Linked DNA regions of Tribolium castaneum. Each later gene encodes a partner of the first gene's protein in a complex. Links are inferred from orthologs where the notes say so. Each region holds a gene or a part of one and is shown on either strand. Other genes may lie near its edges.

The links.
Region 2: TfIIEbeta (region 1) and Polr2L share a complex: the UniProt entries of both Homo sapiens proteins name them as parts of the TBP-based Pol II pre-initiation complex. The link is inferred for Tribolium castaneum from reciprocal best matches to the Homo sapiens genes GTF2E2 and POLR2L.

What each region holds. Positions count from the first base shown.
Region 1 is NC_087396.1:10,271,659-10,276,259, reverse strand, and holds the start of TfIIEbeta (general transcription factor IIE subunit 2), read left to right. Parts: upstream 1-1,796; 5' UTR 1,797-1,911; coding exon 1,912-1,973; intron 1,974-2,028; coding exon 2,029-2,130; intron 2,131-2,184; coding exon 2,185-2,347; intron 2,348-2,398; coding exon 2,399-2,599; intron 2,600-4,601. UniProt on the Homo sapiens protein: Recruits TFIIH to the initiation complex and stimulates the RNA polymerase II C-terminal domain kinase and DNA-dependent ATPase activities of TFIIH. Both TFIIH and TFIIE are required for promoter clearance by RNA polymerase.
Region 2 is NC_087394.1:15,049,631-15,051,972, forward strand, and holds Polr2L (RNA polymerase II subunit 10), read right to left. Parts: upstream 880-2,342; coding exon 676-879; downstream 1-675. Other genes in the region: Sumo (small ubiquitin-related modifier 3), read left to right, coding at 1,540-1,557, 1,644-1,763. UniProt on the Homo sapiens protein: DNA-dependent RNA polymerase catalyzes the transcription of DNA into RNA using the four ribonucleoside triphosphates as substrates.

The DNA.
Region 1 (4,601 bases):
TCGTCAGGCTTTTTATTCTATCTGAATTTTATCTGTATATTTAGACTAAATTCGGCGCGATTTTTTGTGTTTTTTTTCCAACAAAGAATATAATATCTGACTCAGGAGGTAAAACGCTAAATATTTAATAAACAGACAAGTAAATAAAAAACCTAAATGAAATACATCGTTCTGGCCTATCTCGGCAACTATTTTTTGCTTATTGTATCGGTAAAATTCAAAAATGGAAATGAAAATTTCTGGATTAAAAAGCAACCTAGAAGATTAAGAAATTGGCTCAAAAGACGTTCATAATTTAACTCAACATTTAACGAGTTGTTTTAAAAAAATATCTTTTGAAATTTGAAGAAAATACTAAATGAAATATAAAAATGTACCTTCTTCGCGTATCGCAGAAAAATTAACGGAAATTAAAACTGCTGAAATACCTGTAGCTATGTACCTATGAATCTTTTTGTTTTTTAAAGATTCACTGTTAATTAGGTAATGTGTAATGTTAGGTAGTTAGACGCAACTTAAGAGATACTCTTAAATGGGCCTACTGTAGACCAATTTTTAATTCGTGATCTTTTTCATGTAAATGAAACAAACATAAAAAAAAACAAAGGTTTATTCAAATTTTAGTTATTATTATAAGTTATTTTTTAAGCAAAGTGAAGTGAAGGTTCGTATCAAAGATATCAATTACCTTGAAAATGTCAACATTAACACTTCTTTCGATAGCCAAAAGAGATAATGAAGACAACCTTTCTTGGCCAATCTTCCTAGTGTTCGTTTTCAACCGCCGCAAGCGAGAAAAAGACCTCTCACAAGATGTTGTGTTTATTGGAATCGCAAAAAATAAACATATAAAGGTCAAAAAGTAGAGGGAACATACTTTTCATAGCCCTTCAACAAAAATGTCGGCTCTTTCTTGGATAATTTTGTTTTTTCATTCTTCCATATTACAAATAATGTTGAGCTGAACAATTTTGGATGGCAATTGCCACCCCCAAATTACGCACTGCCCCAGGTAGTCTTAGCTGGGACAAAATTGTCTCAAAATTGGCGAATTATTCCGAGTTCAGAGCGTTGTAGAGTTCCGTAGCTTAAATGTATGAGAAGACACAAAATGAAGATTTACTTTGAATTGCGTTTTCTTCAAACGCGGGCTAAAAATTTTAGTGTTTATTGTTATTTATGGTGTTCTTAGATGATTGTAGAAAATAATAATTTAAAACTAATTAAAAAATTGTGTAATTTTTTTAGAAAAAATATTTTATTCATTCAACTTGTTTAATTTTTCTTAAAAATGTAACAACAAATTACAAAAACTTAATTTTTTTACACCAAAATAAAGCTATTTTTTAAGAAATCGACAATCGTTTTACATTATTATTCTCAACAATCATCTTCACCATAAATAAGAATAAACACTTAAACTTTTAGTCCGTATTTGAAGAAAACGCAGTGCAAAGAGAAAGTGATCTTCAAACCAAAGTAATGGGGAAGCCCCGAATCTTCATTTGGTTTCTACATTTGGACTACTGAAGCGATTCTTTACTATCTTTACAATGCTCTGAACTCGAAATTCGCAAATTTTGAGACAGCTTGCATTGTAAAACAAAAACCAAAAAACCTCCACACAGCAAGCTAGTAGTTGGCATCACATCCGATTAAAAACTAGAGTTAATTAACAACGATTATTACTACATATTTCTATAATTAGTAATTAATTAAATAATAATATTGCAAAAAAATATATAAAATTCGGTTCAAGGAACAGTCGGCCACAAAAGACAGACAGCGCAAGGCATCGGTCCCCCACCACTTGTCACTTTGACAGCCGTGAATGTCAAATGCAAAAGAAAACAGATGATTATTCCTCAAACAACATAGTTCGTATTATTTATTTATTATTTCTCCAATAAAATGGACCCCGCCTTACTAAAAGAAAGAGAATTATTCAAAAAACGTGCACTTACAACTCCTACGTAAGTAGCATTCGCATTTTGTCAACTTATTCAGTTAATTTTGTTCTACTTTCAGTGTAGAAAGAAAAAAGACTGATTCAAGACCAGAACCAACTCGCGATGATAGCAAAAGGTTTAAGTCTTCTAGTAGTAGCACCCCTAAACTTGATATCAACACGTAAGCAGCAAAACATTGCAAATTTGAATCAATTACTTTGTGATTTTTTTTTAGATACAAAACAGCAACAGGAAGTTCGCAATATCGATTCGGTGTTCTCGCTAAAATCGTGAAACATATGAGGAAGAGACACCAAGAAGGTGAAACATATCCACTCACATTAGAGGAAATTTTAGACGAAACTAATCAATTAGACGTAGGGAATAAAGTCAAGCAAGTAATTTTGTGTCATTATTACAATACTTAAATGTAATGGTGTTGATTTAAGTGGCTGCAAACCGAAGCGTTAGTCGATAATCCTAAAATTGAGGTCACTCCTGACGGAAAATTTTTATTCAAAGCTCCATATAAACTTAAAGACAGGAAAAGCTTACTGAAACTATTGAAACAACAAGATTTGAAAGGGTTAGGCGGTGTGTTGTTAGACGACGTGCAAGAGTCGTTACCACACTGCGAAAAGGCTTTGAAGGTATCATTCTTTTAGTTATTTTCTAAACGAACGACGTACAAATAAAACGTCTCCGACTTCAATATTTTCGGTAATGTCGCCAAAAAGCCCAGTTGACTATTTAAATAACTATTAACACAATTCAAAAAAATACAGGCACATAGAGCATTAAATTTTCAAGAGTAACAACTAAAAATAATGCAAAAATTTCAAACATATTAATTTGCAGTGTGACCCATATTTTTAAAACGCTGTTAATTTGGTTAAAGATACAAGAAAAATGTTAGGAACAAAGTAGTAGAAAAATCAATTTTCTACAAAAAAGTCCGCGACTATTTTTCTTTACAACTTTGTTCTTCACACTTCTTTATACCTTTAAACGTATTCGCTATGTTTTAAAAATTATAACGCGGATTGCAAATTGATAATAAATGTTTATATTTTTTTGCACTTTTAATTTAAATTAAAAACTTAATACAGAAAGAGTCAGAGATTAAGATAGTGGAAACACTTTATTGAAAACAGTGTCAAAAAATCGCATATTTATATATATGAAAACGCTGCGAATTCAACTAAAGATGTGTAAGAAGCATAGATGTAGAGAATTAAATTTCCTACAAAAAAGTCCGCCACATCTTCATTGGTTTAGGTATAAATTAATTTTCCAATACTTGACCATAAAATGAAACGAAACCGCTGTGTGAGCATTTTTAAACATTTTTGGGGCCTAAATAGTTGAAGATGTAGATATGGGGTCGTATGAATAAAGTTGAAGTATTTACTTAAAGTATGAGTATAAAGGAAAAGCATTTGCTCTTGCTTTTACTTCTTTAGTTTTTTGGAGAATCTGCTCTCAAAATAAATCATTGTAGTGAAGTTTTCAATGTTGTAATTTTTAAAATGGATTTCCATCTCCTCCCATTTCGTTGTTCTCACTCAAAAAATACCTAGCCAAAGCACGAAGATTTTTTCGTTCAAACCGATATAAAGTCTTAAAATCTTATCCTATGTGTTCGCGAGGTTGTTTATAAGTTTTTCTTACCCATAGTTGCACAACACCCACCATTGTTTCGAGTTTGAGGTGTTACTTTTAAAAATTGATGCTCCTACTGATTAGCGTCAACAATTTTGAACTAAATCCTCAACGAAAAAAGCATTTACTTTGTTTTATTCATTTTGTTTTGAGTAAAACCTCGACGTTCAAGCAAATACTCGCCCAGTGTGCTTTTACTTTTAGTAAAAACTTATACTTACATTTTTACTCATACAATTTAGAACATTTACTTGCAAAATTTGAAGTAAAAGCATTTACTCAATTGTATTCATACGGCCCTTGGTTTCGCAGATTTTTTAATAGCTATTTATTGTATAAGTGTTTTCGAAAGCATTTTATCCACGCAAGAATGTTTAATATTCTCAAGTGGATAAAATGCGACTAAAACATGAATGCAATACAATGTTTTATCCACAATCGTAAAATTAATCTTGGCAGGCTTTGTCTGGTAGTCATAATTCCTAGTTTATTCCACTAGTGGATAATAGGTCACTATAAGGCTAAAGGGGACGACAGAGTTAAACCAAGTGTGTGGCAAAGACAAGTAGTAATGAAATTTATTTTTCTACTTTTGGCGATATTTGTAATCCAATTTTAAATCGAAAAATGGAATTGACTCTTTTAAATAATTATAATTTGAGACAACGTAAGACTTTGAAAAAAAATTATTTGATATTTTTTTATTAAAAGTTTAAACAAATATTCATAATATTTTTAAAAATGTGTACGGGAAAGATGCACAGTGATGGTACGAACAGAATGCGTCCAAAAAACGAAAAATTTTGTTGTAGTTTTGAACGAATCGCGAATATTCATTTTGACAAAATTTGCCGCCGAGAATCTCCCACAGTCAAGTGCGGGACAAGAGAAAGAGAGGGCAAAAGCAACTAAAGACTAGAAGATGTAAAACACGATATTTCTGTATCCTAGTATTATTCATACAAACAATTATGGTGTTAATTCTATGAA
Region 2 (2,342 bases), on another chromosome or scaffold:
ATGTATGGGGTGTTTCATTTCAAAAAATATAACTCTAGTAAACCAGGATGTATACAACACCCTGTGTATAATAAAAAAAAGATAGTTTGTGGACTTTAAGTCTATCTATAGAATAATGAAAACGAAAACATGGCAAAATTTCAAGTAACAAAAAAGTTACAGACCGCACCCCTGAGTCACCCTGTATCTTTTAAAAAAATCACCAACAATTATTGTCTTATGGTGTTACAAACACTTAAATTAGCAAATTATACAATAAATAATTTAATATTAATCATATTAATATTATTAATCACTGGAAACAAAACAACAATTAAAATGGTTGCTAAAGAAAACAAATACAAGAATGATAAAAAAATCAAGTTGCTTGGGAAAAGATCTGACTTCATTTCTAAACTTTACTGGACATCCCTTATCACCATATCGACACTTTCTTGACCCTCTAGACATGGTTGAATTAACAAAGATAATGCAATTTTTTTGAATAACTTTATAAAAATAAACAAAAAAGTTACCGTGAACTCGTGAAGTAGGAAAAACTAAATAGGATGTTGCAAAAATGCTGGTTTATGAAAGACAAGGCATAATAGTAAAATTTATTCAAAAACGCGCCTTTTTACATGCCATAAAATTAAACTTACACCTACACTTACTTAACAGACTTACTACTACAGATTACTTCTCTAAAGGAGCATAATTCAATAACTTTTCAATAAGATCGACGTGTCCAAGAAGCATTCTTCTGCAACAGTACCTCTTCAAACCCAAAGCATCCAAAGCATCTCCTTCCGTATATTCAGCTTGCAAAAGCCCAAGATAAGCCTCCCATTTATTTCCAATAACTTTCCCACAAGTAAAACAACGAACCGGTATAATCATCTTGTCTCGACAAAACCTGAAAAAATATAACCTAATTTTTCACTGACACATCAAAAATTAACCAAATTCTGTACCTCACACTCTCGCTTAATCAAAATTTGTTGCGTTGGTATTTAGACTTTAAATTAGATTACTTTCAAAAAGCTTTAACTGCGCTTTTCTAGAAGCTTTTTGATTTCTAATTTCGTGAATTTCTGGGTTCTTCACTTCTGGAATATTGGTGCTCCTGATCAATTGAAGCTTGTGGCCTGCCATCTGTCGACGGCAATAACAAATAAGGATTAATTTCTTGATTAAATTATTAAAAAATCGCAGAAAACATGTGAAAGTTATATTGAAAACAAAGCCTAATTTTTTGTATTAATTTACCGCGTTGTTTCAAGCACGTTTTGTCAACGTGAAGTGGTAAATTTCTACAAATGTTTCAAGCGGAAGTGTGAAGTTTGAACAGCTAAAGCCGACTTTGACTAACCGCGTAGTCACTTCCGGCGAGCAGTTACCGCTACTTTGCAAGCAAGCCGGCCATTATTTGTTAGCGGCAAGCTGCGTGTCTGTTGATAAAACGGTTAAAAGTGCACCAAATTCCACTAAAACCGTTTACATTTGTGCATCAACTTCGGCCCCAGACCCTCCTACAAGCCACAACCAAATTTGCCAAATATGGGTGACGAAAAGAAGGTAAACATGACTTTTCTTTCCTAACCATAAACGAGGTTTTTTTCCCGTAATTTTGAACTGATACTCACGTTTTTGGGACTTTGCAGAGCAATGAAACGGAACATATCAACTTGAAAGTACTGGGACAAGATAATGCTGTCGTCCAGTTCAAGATCAAAAAGCACACCCCTCTCAGGAAGCTGATGGGGGCTTATTGTGAAAGAGCGGTAAGTGTTACACTTTATCTCAGATTCTTTAGTTTATTACTGGGACAAATGAGTAAGAACATGGATTGTGATTCATACTTGTGTTTACTAAAATGTATCAAAAGCCGCATCCTTTCTCCAAGTCTTTAATGTGCCATGATTTGCATTTTTTTCATGTTTGGACGTCTGAAACCGCCACATTTGTTGCAACTCAACTTCTTAAATGTCTAAACCAGGATTTGTTAATGTTTGTTCACTCCTGTGCGTAGTGATTGGTTGTATTCGGAAATAAAATTAACTAGACGCCCTCTGGTGACGACTTTTGAACTATGTCGAAAACAGTAACGAAATTTTCGTAATTCAATATTTAATTTAATTTTTTAATTTAACAATTTTGCGTGTGTAGTGTTAATTACTTACAGTAGAGAGAATCACTTTAAGGTAGTTGGGGCCTTACAATCGGAGCAAAAAGTTAGGCCAAAAGAATATATGGTGCCACAGTGTATAGTATCCACAGTAACCAACCCAAAAATTTTTACTGTGAATGTACTGCCCTGGCCAGTCATAACTCATTTGTGGAATGTGACAACACTGTCGGAG